Linked DNA regions of Mus musculus: regions 1 and 3 are each reported to be linked to region 2. Evidence: microRNA targets listed by miRTarBase, many of them from high-throughput screens and not tested one by one. Region 2 holds a microRNA gene; each other region holds the end of a gene's coding sequence.
The links. Region 2 holds the annotated microRNA mmu-miR-709 (GGAGGCAGAGGCAGGAGGA, at 1,256-1,274, opposite strand). A microRNA usually pairs through its seed, bases 2 to 8, with sites in the 3' UTR of a target mRNA and lowers its output. Matches are read on the target gene's strand: a 7mer-m8 pairs with bases 2 to 8, a 7mer-A1 pairs with bases 2 to 7 and ends in A, and an 8mer does both.

Region 1: miRTarBase lists Zfp365 as a target of mmu-miR-709. Seed matches in the 3' UTR shown: 7mer-m8 at 3,542-3,548 and 7mer-m8 at 3,536-3,542.
Region 3: the mRNA of Castor2 is a reported target of mmu-miR-709. Seed matches in the 3' UTR shown: 7mer-m8 at 3,323-3,329 and 7mer-m8 at 3,500-3,506.

Annotation. Positions count from the first base shown.
Region 1 is chr10:67,884,834-67,889,530 of GRCm38, forward strand. Zfp365 (zinc finger protein 365) reads right to left here. Exons shown (of 5, transcript NM_178679.2): 5 at 1,272-4,258. The coding sequence ends at 3,997. Among named protein-coding and RNA genes, the nearest start is that of Zfp365, 25 kb to the right of the region's middle.
Region 2 is chr8:84,083,441-84,087,440 of GRCm38, reverse strand. Mir709 (microRNA 709) reads right to left here and starts at 1,342; the gene lies at 1,255-1,342. It overlaps Rfx1 (regulatory factor X, 1 (influences HLA class II expression)), which reads right to left. Exons shown (of 21, transcript NM_009055.4): 7 at 3,267-3,359; 8 at 1,774-1,868.
Region 3 is chr5:134,137,409-134,142,105 of GRCm38, forward strand. It overlaps Castor2 (cytosolic arginine sensor for mTORC1 subunit 2), which reads left to right. Exons shown (of 9, transcript NM_030719.3): 7 at 56-138; 8 at 628-722; 9 at 821-4,374. The coding sequence ends at 886. Among named protein-coding and RNA genes, the nearest start is that of Rcc1l, 37 kb to the right of the region's middle.

The sequences.
Region 1 (4,697 bases), not on the chromosome of region 2:
TCTAAAGTTTATCATTTAAAGGCCTAAATTGTGACGTCGGGGCTTGTTGTGAGTTCTGCACAGTGTCGAGTTCATTGTGTGCTCTGTGGATATTCAGTGTTGCAAGCGTCTGCAGGGTTTTGTCCGTCCTTCTTTCCTCCCTCCCTTCCTTCCCATCTAAATTCTTTCTTTCTCTCTGTTCCCATAGCCTCTCATGTATCCCTGGGTTGGCCTTGAACTTGCGATGTGTCTGAGGATGACCTTGAATTCTTGATCCACCTTCTAAGTACTGAGATTACAGACTTTCTTTGTAGCTGAAGTGTTGGGTGTTGTTATGTCATTTCTTTATGTATGGATAGAGCACTTGGATCATCTCAGCTCCTCTGTGACTTATTACTCTTTCTCCCCCGTTTCTTTGTACATCTCTTGGCACCTCTCTCTTGCTCCCATGCCTTCCTATTTCCCCTTAGCTTCTGCAAATGAGACAAAGCATGTGAATGCCTGACAGAGTGAAATGGATGCAACTAATGATCCCCATGGTGAGGTCGTGAGTCCTCTAGAGGAATCCAATTCTTAACATTGCCCATTGTTAGTGTTTGAAATCTGCCCAAGCCTCCTGTTCAGGATTGAGCATGCATGTCATCCTTGGAATTCAAGACACTGAGACTAACATTTTCAACTGCTGGGGGATAATCATGAATATCATGCTAGTGCTTAGACCTGTAACATGGAAAACCCACTAGCCTAACACTAGTTAAGTATTGGGAGCAGAGGCAGGCCATCTCACCAATAACTTGGAAACAACTGGAATTCACTGAGTTCCCATAGTTCCATGCTTCGTAGAAAACCAGCGGTTGAGTGCTTCCTCTCTCTGAAGCCTGCTCTTAGTACAGCGGCAAGGATGTGCAGCAGCCACAGGCTGGGGTGGGTACGCTAGGACATCTGTTTATGGTTTCCGCTAAGAGTTGACAAGATAAAACTAAAGTGTTGGGAAAATTACACATAGTCATCGAGGAAGACAGGGAAGATGTGGAGAGGGCTTTTAATGAGCCTCCCTGGGTGTGAACATATGTTAAAAAGAATATTTAGATAGAGGTATTAGAAAGTATGAAAATAAATGAGCCAGTTTTCCTGAAGGCTGATTGGTGTACAAGGGCATGCTCATTATGTACAAAAGGAACAGTTTATTTGTGAAGCATAGTTTTGTTTGCTGTTAGTGGAGCAATAAATGTGACTTTCAAAAAAAAACAAAAAAAACAAAACACTTGACCTAGAAGGAACAGACCAAAGTGTTAGTCAGAAATATAGCTTTATTATCATAGTATTTCATAATCTAAAAACTTCTCTTTTTTTCCATCCTGGGAACAGAAATACTCTAACATCTATACATTTGACTGGCCCTGCAGCATACTGGAATACAGCTTCCAAGCAAGCCGCACTTACACATAAGAATCTGTTATAGTTTGGGGAGAGGGTGGGGCATTGACACAACAGTTCAAATGAAGATCTTTTCCCCTTACAAAATAAATAATAAAATTCAATGTATACCTCAGTTAATTCTTGATAACAGTTTCCCAGAAACTTTGGTGATTTGTTTAAAAAGTCACTGCTTCAAATCTAAGGTCGATTGCCTGAGGGGACTCGAGAGCGTGTGTGTGTGTGTGTGTGTGTGTGTGTGTGTGTGTAGATGACATATAAATGGAACTTAGCCATGATGTAGGTGAATGATCCTTCCGTTAAAACAGCTCCCATACTTCAACAGCAGATTTATGTCTTTAGGGAGTCTGTTATACTTAACACATTTCCTTCTATGGGGATCAGAATGCAGCTGAAACTTAAAAGATGTTTTTAAATTCAGTAAGTCAATCTTAAAACTATTTGTCTTGAGTAGTGTATATAGAGTACAAGGTTATATCCAAAGACGAGCATGGACCACTGTCAAAGAGGGCTGTCCTTCCTTCTAGGCTCTTTAAAGGAACACCAAAAAATGACTTACTTTAAATAAAAGAGGAAACAAATCTGTCCATATGTTTGTCAAAGCTGAGGTGTTGTTACTGCACACACTACAGGACGGGGAGCATGCGATACAATCAGCAAGTCACGTTTTCAGTGTGGACAAAGCAAAAGTGCAACCATGATATAAACATCAACAATAAATAACTATGGCGGAGATTTCTTATCCAGATAAATAATAACATTACAGCTTTCACAACGTCAGCCTCAACAGTGATATGATACGCAGCTGTTTCTTTCCCCAACTTGGAATCTGCCTGCACACCACACAGAAGATCTGCTCCCATAGGCCGGAAGTCAGTGAAGACTCACACAGAAACCTCTCCTCCACAAGGACAGGTTCAAAGTATCTGAAAACGATGAGTTATCCTTTTCAATTTATTGTCATCCCAAGGAACTGCTTTATTATCTATTTTAATGTAATACGCTAATCAGATGCTTGTTGCAATAACAATAATTCTACAAGTGTTAGTCAGGTTACAATCTTAATTTTTAAAGTAAAGGAATTTGATTTACAGAAACAAAGCTATATAGTTTTAAAGCCACCCACCACAAACACACACTTTCTCCAGGAGTATTTAAAAATAAACTATTCATATACTTGACATATATATAGCGTATGTAATATATATATGTATATACTTATGGACAACATTATTCCTGTTTTAGAAAGAATGTCAGCACAAATACACTCTAGAGACCTGATGGTGTTGCTTAATTTAAGGAAAAAAATATATAAATTCCTTCTGGAAGAAAATTTTAAACCAGGAGATTTTTTAAAGTTTTTTTTTTCTTTAATAGGAACAGTGTCATTTGGGGAGGGTAGTATCACAGGTCATAGTCCGCATGCATTCTTTATCATCTGAAATTACAATAGAATGCACTGCACAATGAACACCCCAGAGGTGTGGCTGGGAGGGGGTCAAGTGTACACCGGCTAAAGAAGCAAGAGGAGGCAAAGTGAGCTTCCGGGTTGAAACGGAAGTTAGCAAAGAGCATGCTCACAGGTAACCGGTAGCAAGCCTTCCAGAGTAGCCGGTGGGAGAAGAATGGTGGGCGTGCCCACAGCATGGCCAGGATGGCCATGGTACACTGAGTGTGCCCCCCTCTAGCACATCAAGCATTTTGGGCACCACATCAAAGATGCTGCTGACCCCAAGGGTTTTAGCAGCTATCTCTGCAGAGGCCGGTAGACAGCTCTTGGGGGTGCAGCGTGCTTTGCCAAAGAAGGCAGGAGGGGTGCACCCAGACCTGAATAAATAGGCCCTGGAGGACCCAGATGTGAATCAAACAACCCCAAAAGCCACCTGGCAAAGTGAGAACCGAGGTCTAACTAAACACGGCCTGTAACCCACACGGAGATTAAAATCTTGATTAACCAGAATCCTCAAGGGTAACAGGAACGAACCTCTACCGTAGAGACTTTCAAATGTATCAAAGGGCGTCTACACGCAAACCACAAAAGCTCTGCTTTTATTTCACTGCTCTTGGTAAGAACTTTACACTCCCAGCTGGGTGTGGTAGCGCACACCTGTGCACTCAGGAGGCAGAGGCAGGAGGATTGCTGCAAGTTCAAAGCTAGCCTGGTATATATATATAAAGCTCCAAGCCAGCCAGGACTACATAGCATAACAAGGCCCTGTCTCAGAACACCAAAAAATACTATTTTTCTTTAAAGTAGAAGAACTTCACAGTCACATTCCTTGCCTCATAATTCAGAGAGCAGTGGATACCAGAGTCTGGCATCTTGTGAGGCCCACGTACTAATGGGCACTGGGTAGAGGAACCCCGGGTGCCAGGTCTGCGAGAAACTGGCCCAATTATTTAAGAAGTTACCCGCTCGTGTTTCCTGAAACCGGTTGTTTTACATTCTGGTTAATCAGAGTGACCCTGTTTGTTGTGTTCCCTGCGTTCCTACGGCTACATGTCCAAAAGGACAACGCTGTTGGACTCTGGAACATCATTTGGTAAGCCCCGTGGTGATGCTTCCGAGCCACCCAAGCTCTAGATGATATTCACGATTGCTGTAGGCTTCTTTTTAGCCATTTTGGGCCTGAAATTCCCTTTCCGGCTCAGACCCAGGTGTTCCCCTTTCTTGGCTGGTCTGAAGAATTCTCTTGGAGACTCAGCCGGTTCGTGAATGGCCTTGGCGGGCTGCATCCCGGCTCGCTCATCCTTGGCTTTCTTCAGGTAGCTTCTCCCCTTCAGATGGAAATGGGCCCTCATCTCAGGATGGTTGCAAACAGAATGCTGGTGCCCTCGGCTTCTATAGGGGTCAGGAAGAGAAACGGAGAAAAGAGAGAGGCTTGTTAAAAGAAAGACAACTAACTACTCCTGTCTACCATGGCGACCATGCTCCCACACAGATAAGTCGCAGATACTAGAATTTCAATTCATGACAGTTCCTGTGACTGTGTCATGCTAAATCTAAGAGAAATATTACTAGCGCTACTACCAGTGATAAAACAGGTACAGAAAAAGTCAATGCTACCAGGATGATGTGCACGAATACAGGATGAACCCAGCTCTTAACTCTTCAGGCAAACACCAGGAGACTCAGCAAAAGATGTTGTGTATATACTTTAAAGTATGTGACATATAAATAGTGCATATCGGGCAATAATAATACTATATATCACATGTATAATATATGTGTAATATATAAACATACACACTATATATCATATAAATATATGTCTAGGATA
Region 2 (4,000 bases):
TCCACTGTGGGTCCTGGAGACTGAACTCAGACTGTAAAGCCCGGCAGCAAGCACTGCTGAGCCATTGAACCAGCCCTCGCTGGGCACTGAGCCACAGCACTCCAGCACAGGAATCACTCTCCTCACTGGTACTGAGCCACAGCACTCACTGGTACTGAACCACTGCACTCCAGCACAGGAATCAATTTCCTTACTGCAGAAGAGGAGAAAACAAGACAGGGTCCAGAATGCAGAACGTACTTCCTCGGCAACAACGACAAACAGTTCTCAGTCCAGGGAAGGGAGATACAGGAGGGAAGGCAAAGTACAAAGGACTGCAGGGTAGGCAGAGGGGCCGCCTTGGCTACCTCTTCCTGGCAGGGAGCTGCCCCTCCAACTCAGAATATGTCCTGAGTGCCGCATAGGGTAATAAGCCGCAGATCTAAGAGGGGCAACTGTAGCAAGCAAGCCACCCTAACATTTGGGCCCATCTCTGCAGGCTGCAGACTAGAGGGGGTGAGGCAGGAAGAGGAGACGCAACATGATTGCCTTGAGTCCTCCACTGGGTACCGATGGACAGCCAGAAACGAGAGGTTGGGATGAGGAAAAGACCACCCTGTGTGTAGGCAGAAGGCTCTCTGTGGGGAGGGGACAGGCAGGGCCACCTCTCACTTTTGCTCTTTGAGCCCTCCCAATGTGACAGTGATTAAAGCAGGAAAACTTGAGCCTTGCAGGTGGCTCAGTGGGTGGGGATGTTTGCCATCAAGACCGAAGACCTGGGGTTGATCCCCAAAGCCACACAGCAAACAGACTCCAGTGTTAGCATTGGCACTACGCTCAATACATGGTGCATACAACCCCCCCCCATCATCCCATGCACACACTCGAACACATGTGTATACACACACACACACACACACACACACACACACACACACACACACACACACACACACACACACACGAGGGCCAGCAAGGTGGCTCTGGGGTCAGAGACTCACCACATGAACCTCTTACCTAGTACTTGAGTTCTGACCTCAGGTCATGACCTTGCTTCTCAGGTCTGATAAGCAAGAAGCAAGCCATTTACTGATTTATCTCCCTAACCCCCAAGAAAAATTGTAAGACAGAATATGCAAGCCCGAGGAACTGGATTTGCCCCTGCAACCTGTGTAAAGGAGAGAGAAAACGGACTCCTCTAGGTTGTTCTCTGATCTCCACCTGCACCACAGCACATGCACTCTCCCCACACATAAGTCAATATAACAAAAGACAATCCTCCTGCCTCTGCCTCCCCAGTGCTGCTCAAACAGGACAGTTCTATGCTCAGAGCACTTCTGAGTAGAAGCAGAGAAACGGGACACACTAATTACTCTGTGGGACACTGAGGGTCAGATTGAGAACCTGTGGTTCCAGCACGAGAGAGGAAGTGTCAGGCAAATCTCTGAGTTCAAGGCTACCCTGGTCTACAGATCAAGTTCCAGGGCAGTGAGGGCTATACAGAGAGACATTGTCTCAAAAAAAGTTTATGTTGTAAAAATGTATGTATAAATACATATATGTATGCTTTTTCTTTCCCCTTTTCCTGCCTAAAATCCAGATCCATCTAACTGCACAGCTCCTAATTTGTGGAGGTGCCTTCCCAATGGGCCAGTGTCTCTTCTGCTACCAGCTGCCTATATTCCTGGCACCCCACAGGTGTGGGGCTATCACCTGAGCCTTGGGGGCCAGCTGGGAGTTAGAATTGTGGCCCTAACCACATCTGAGCCCTCCTTCCACCCTCTGCCCACTTACATGGCGCTGGCTGTGTAGCTGGCATCGCCACCTTCCACGTACTGCACCTGGCTGGAATACACGTGTGGGACAGGCACCTGAGGGAGTTGCTGTACCTGAAGCAGGAGGAAAAGCAGGGTCATGGGTCAGGGCTGACCACCACCCACGGGTTCACTGATGCCCACATACATCCCCATCTAGAAGGTTGCACATCATGGTTTTCTGAACAACATGGGCCAGAGGTGGGAGGCTTAGGTAGGAGGCTTAGGTGGGGCCAGGTCTCAGTTGTGGCTGGAAAACAGGAGGTGCTGGGATTCTCTGCTTTGGCAAAGAGGTTTCTAAGGCTTATGAGCAAAGGAGGGGATACCAGACAGAATTCTGCAATGGGCTTGAGAGGTGGGTTTGCAATCTAAAAACCGGGCCTGGGGGTTTTCTGGAAACCAAAAAGGTTTCCCAAGCAGATTAGGGGTGGAGCCTGAAGAGGGATCAGTTGATAGAACAACTAGAAACAACTGACAACACCTTAGGGGCAGGTACTGGATAGCCTACCTCCACCCCCAACCCTGGTTTGCAGGAGCCGTGTCTGGGACCCAGTCCCTGAGGCAGAACAAGAATGACTGGCAGCACTTTGGGGGACAGGGTAAAGACATCTCACCCCACCCGCCTTGGGTTGCAGGGGCGAAGCCTGGGAGCCTGGACTTGAAGGCGAGGCAAAGCGGCTTGCTGGGCTGAATGCCCTTCCCCTGCCCGCCCTCCGCCCCCTGCCGTGCCTCCGCTGTCCGCCGCCACCTACTTTGAGGGCGGTGCCGAACACTAGCACCTGGGGCATTCTGTGGATCCTGACCCTCAGGTCGGGGCTGGCTCGGGCCGAGAGCCCCCGCTGTGGCTCGAAGACCACCCTCTGCTGCGGCAGGAGCAGGTGTGGGGGCAGCATGCCCACCAGCTCCACCCACTGCTCCACACCCGGCTCGTAATGGAGCGGCTGCTGCTCGCTGCCTAGCTGCAAGACCTCGCCGCAGCACACTGGCCCAGGCCCGGGAGGCCGGGGCGGCGGCTCCGGCGGCGGCGTGGGCCGGGTTTCTTGCTGCTCTGCCTTCCTAGCGGGAAACTGACTGCCTGAGCTCTGGAGGACAAACAGAGACACTGGGGTATCACCCGGCTGTGAACTCATGGCCACCCGAATGAAGATTCCCCACTTGGGATCTCCTTAGAGAAGAGAGGAACGAACTGGGCACTATCAGAAAGAAGCGGAATTCGAATCCAGCCCTCTTTCAACAAGACCTGTGTCCTGAGTGGTCAGGTGCTGGGATGGGGACGGATTCAGGATGAAGTCTGAAGCCGAGGGCTAGAGTGAAACCTCACTTCTGCAGGGCTTCAAACCTCAATTGCCCCCACTGTCTGCCCTTTAGGGTCCCCAGCTGGCTCCATTCCTCCCTCTGGATTAGGTGCCTGTACCTCCAGCCACAGCCCAGGACTAGTCTGATTGCCCCGACATAGACAGATAGGACACGCACCTCTTGAGCAACGTGAACTGGCTGCAGTCCCTGCACAGTCAGCTGCTGCACCGGGCCAGCTTTGGTCTGTGGAGTGGCCTGGACTACTGACCTCTGGCAAAGAAGGGCAAGGAGAGGCAAGTTCGAGTATGGTAACCATGGCAACTAGGGCAGCCTGTCCCATGCATGCTCAGAACAGCCGTCTTGGGAAAGGCTGTCATTCTTCAGACAGAGAGCAGCCTTTCCGTGTGGGGTCCAGTTAATACAGGCCTTCCAGGTCTCTTACTGCCTGCCTCTGCCATCTGGAGGTTCAGAGTGGTTCTTGCACGGGAAGGGAATACCTGTGGATCCTTTGAATTAGAAGGTTCCCATTTCCTCTAGGGAAGAGCCTACAGCTCGGGCCTATTTGAGGTTTTCAGCCTGGTACTGGGGAACCTGGGGTCTTATGCATGCTAGGCCAGCTCTCTACCACTAATCTACACCCCAGCACTGTTTTTCAATTTTTATTCTGAATCAGGGTTTCACTACATTGTCCAGACTGGCCTTGAAGTGGGGATCTGGCCTGAGTCTCTTGTAGTTGAGGCTATGAGGACACACAAACCATGTCTTGTTTTCTTGAAAAGCCAAGAATCCCAAGAGTTAAGCAGTTAACAAGGAGATACAAGACCATCCTTGCATCTTGGCCTGCTCAGGCCACTGTGATGGTATTAGGAAACTCAGTCTCCTTTGGAAGGTTGAGCACATCGTGAGAATGG
Region 3 (4,697 bases), not on the chromosome of region 2:
GGGGGGAGCACCAGTTAAGCCCTGCCTCAGACTCCTCCTCCTTCTTCTTCTATAGGTTCCCGAGTCACTTGCTATTCACGAGTGCATCTGGAGAGCTCTGGAAGATGGTGCGCATAGGAGGACAACCCTTGGGATTTGGTGAGCCTGTGGGGTCCAACACCTATATGCGGGAATCAGGAGGCGTTCCCAGGGTTCCTGGCCAGATCCACCCTATGTAGTGTGCTGGAGACTGAAACCCCATTTCTGACAGATCTCTTGCCAATGGTGTGACATATATATATGAAGGCCTCGGGAGACCAACAAGTAGACTTTACCATAGGGCTCTTAACCCATCCTGCAAGCTGAAAAATACAGTGGGGCTGGGGGTGTGGCTCAGCAGTAGAGCACCTGCCTAGAATCCCCCAGGGAGGGGCTGGGGGGCGTGGCTCCATGGTAGAGCCCCTGCCTAGAATCCCCCAGGGAGGGGCTGGGGGCGTGGCTCAGCAGTAGAGCACCTGCCTAGAATCCCCCAGGGAGGGGCTGGGGGCGTGGCTCAGTGGTAGAGCCCCTGCCTAGAATCCCCCAGTGAGGGGCTGGGGGCGTGGCTCTGTGGTAGAGCTCCTTCTCTGAGCACCTGTGTTTCCCTAGATGAATGTGGGATTGTAGCCCAGATCTCAGAGCCCTTGGCAGCTGCAGACATCCCAGCATATTACATCAGTACTTTCAAGTTCGACCATGCATTGGTAAGTGGCCCCTGGGGACAGGTGGGGACTGTATGGGTAGGGACCAGGTACCTGGGCTCACACACTTTTTTTTCCCCCCTTTGCGTCCTGCCCTGCAGGTTCCAGAAGAGAATATCAGTGGGGTTATCCATGCCCTGAAGGTCAGTCAAGCAGGGAAGCATTAGACTCGTCTCTGGGCTCCTCCCTGCCACAGCCCACCTGGGCCTTTCCCCCCACGAAGGTTATTCTTGCAGTATTTCCCTATGGACTGAAAGCTCGGCCCCAGGACCTTTAAGGAAGGGGCCTCTGGGACACTCCCCTGATTCCTGACTCCTCCAGGCCTGGGCCTGAGCTAGGGCCACCCCCACATCCTCCTCCTGCCTTCCAGAGTCCCCAGCCTTTTCAGTAATGACTCTGTTTCCGCTCGGTGGGGGTGTGCCCATCTTCCTCCCCCAAGTTCCACCCCAGAAAGCGGTCTCCGAGGCCCAGGACACTTGGGACCAGCCCAAGGCCTCACCTACAGCCCGCAGCAAACACCAAAGGAAGCTGGCACCTCCTGTGAGACACTGGGATCGGGGTCCTGATGCACCTAGGGACATCTTAGGGAGTTGGTGGAGCAAGATTGGGGGTACAGAGCTGGGGAAGCCCCCGTGAGCCCCCCCTTGAATTGATGGTTATGGTTGCTGCTCTAGTTTTAGAGGTTCAGGGGCTGGTTCCCTCAGAATGGAGGTCAGCAGGCCACCCTCAGGTCATAATGGCCAGTGAGCCTCAGACAGTAGCAGTGGGGTTCCTACTCCTAAGCTGGGGAGGAAAGGCAAGACTCTAGACCCCCACCTGCTGACCACACAGGGCCTGTGTCGATTTCCTCTACAACTGCCAAGAGGGGCCCTGGGCCAAACTTCCCCCCAGAGCACTTGTCCCTGGAGGGGATCCCAGGACACCCCCTCTCCCACCAGCCTAGAGCGCCAGCTTCTATCTGTCCTTTGTTCGCTCTCCCCAGACCCATCATGGGCAAGCAAAGACTCGGCTTCTTTCAGCGGTGGGCATCCCCACCTGCCCAGGCCTAGGGTGCCTTGGGCCATGTCCCACCTCCCCAGCTGTCACTTAGACCAGCCTAGAGAATTCCCCATCATCCTCTCTGCCCCACTTTTAGGGGATAAAGAGGCCTCAGCCCCCACAGCTCATATACCTGCCCGAAATACACACAGCAATCTGTGGTCACGGTGATAACCTGGGAGGCAGCTATCTTCAAGCATTTGTAGAGAGACATTACCCCTGCGGGGTTTCTTCTTCGTTGTCTTTGCATACAGGTGGCTGGGGAAAGAGTAGTTTTGTTTGGAGGGGATGGAGCCTGTTTGAGTCTTATTAGGGTACCCAGTGTTCAGTGAGACTTAGCACCCTGTGTCTCTGGGGACAGACACAAATGCAAAGATGTATCGTAAGACTCTTGGCCGTGTCTTCTGAGGAGGGCTAGTGGGAGCAGAGCTCTGATACAAGACACCAGGACCCCATAGCACCCCCTGCAGGGCATGCCAGTGTTCCACCACCTTCATATGGCGCTGTTAGCTGGGACTGCGGGGGGTCCACCAGACTTTTTGCTCTTGGGGTGTTTTGTCGAGCCTGTGCTTCACGATCTCCAACAACAAGGTCAGAGGAGGGAATGTTTATCTACCCCTGCACAGTCTTGTACAAACTGTGTTTCCCTCCTCTCTGGGCCACAGAAACACACCCAGAGGAACTCTTCTAGAATCATGTAGAAGCCAGAACCCAGCATGTTAATCAAAATCAACTCTGGTTGGTTTTGGTTTTGGTTTTTTTTTTTTGTTGTTGTTGTTGTTGTTGTTGTTTTTTAACTCCTTTTGCACAAAACCCTTAAAACCAAATCTTATTATTTTCTGGTCCCGAATGGGAAATGGCCAAGTGGGCGGGGCTTTATAGTGAGGCCCCTGAGTCCCCTTTTTCTCTCTCTGGAAGGCCTTGATTGTCCGGGGTACACATCTCCAGAACCCCTCCTGTCTCCCTTTCCAGTCATCCCTTCCCACCATATAAGTGTGCTGGCCCCCTGCCCCCTGTGTGGACCCCTAGACTTGCTAGGATGAGACTGTGTATTGTACACACCTATAAATACATGTTTTATGTTGATAGAGATATATTCTGTAAATAGCATATATACTTGAGCAATATATATGTTAATATATTCTGTGTGCGCAGGACACAGGCAAGGGCCCCCACCTCATGTGCGCACACTCGGGGACATTTTGAGCCACCGTATATTTTTAATTCAAATACGTAGGCAATACGATGAGTGAAAAAGCCCTGGGGTCCTGAGGCCAGCCTGGAGGGGAGACAGAACCAACAACCTACCGCAAGTGGGGCAGGCTGAGAGGGCCAGTGTAGTCTGCTTCATAGCTACTGTACCCCCATTTCCACAGCCTAGAGCTCTGGATGCCTTCATTTTATTTGGGAGGGGGGGCACTGATCCAGAGGAGGGATTGGGTTTTTTTGTTGTTGTTGTTGTTGTTGGGTTTTGTTTTTGGTTTTGGTTTTTGGTTTTGTTAACAGTGGCTCCCTCCCTCAGGGTTACCCCAAAACCTTTGTCTGGTAAACCCATCTGTCCCAGCCTGCCTCCCTCCCAAGTCCCTTCTCCATAGAAAGCTATAGACCTGGCATCTTACCTGACTTTTGTTGTTATTGTTGTATTGTTTTCTTGAGGCAGGGTCTCTTTAGATAGCCCTGGCTATCCTGGAACTCTCTTTGTAGACCAGGCTGGCCTTGAATTGATAGGACTCTACCCGCCTCTGCCTCCCGAGTGCTGGGATTAAAGGTGTGTGCCATCACACCTAAGTTTTTTTTTAATATTATTATTAATATTATTATTCCTGCAAGCTTAGGAATCTCAGGTTCTCTTCCCTGCTCTCTTCCTAGGACTGACTCCATAAGGACCCAGACCACCACACATACTCCCACGGTTGTGTGTCCAGAAAGGGCTGGGCCTGGCTTCTGCCGGCCAACCTTTTAAGGGACCGCACTGCTGTTCAGCTGCAGTGGGTCCTTGGAGGAAGCTAGCTCTGTTTCTGTGTTCTGTGGGTAGATCAGCATGGTGTGGTGTCTTCAGTTCTGGGGGATGTGACAGTCCCTCTACTAGTAGAGGCCCTCTACTCTCGTGTTTTTTAGCACTGTCTGCTCTCTTTTCAGCATCTTCTGGTTTTATGAATATGAAGGATGACTCCACCCCCTGCTAACCCAGCCTCAGAGGGGACCCAAGTGTCACACCACTCCGAAGTCAGGGTTCCCTAGAGGATTTCTTTTGTGTTTTTCTGCAGTGCTGAGGAATGTAGGCAGGGCCTCCTGCGTGAGAGGCAAGTACTCCACAGAGCCACTCCCAGATCCTCGCAGCAGAGTCTCTCGGCTCACAGGGAGGGTAGGAGATTGGGCTGTTAAGAAGGTAAAGTTTTAGGAACCGCAGTCAGGAACCCCCTGGGTTGGGCTACCAAGTCCCGAACTCTGGGGGTACTCTATCAGGAAAGCGCACTTCAGGAGTTGCTCAGTGGATAGGGTGTTCCCATAGCATTATTCCCAGCACTCGGGAGATGAAAGCAGTCAGATCACAAGTTAAGGTCAGCCTGGGCTACATGAGGCTCTGTCTCAAAAAAAAAAAAAAAAAAAAAAAAAAGAAAGAAAAGAAAAGAAAAGAAAAGAAAAAAAGAAAGAAAACGTCAAATATCACCTGTACAGACTAATGAGACCATCCAGGGTCCCCATCCGCAAAGCACCCCTTCTCCTTTGGCTCAGCCCCATAGCCTGGGGCAAACCTGCTTTCCAAGAAATCTACTTCTCCCCCCAGACCCTAGCAGCATCACCAACTATATACTCCAGGGTCCTAAAGACACCCCCCCTCCCACATCCATAGAGGTATGCAGCCCTGCCCCCATAAAGCCCCCTTATCTAAGACTCCTAAGCATCAACACTCACCCTGTCCCACCATCTGCAGGTAAC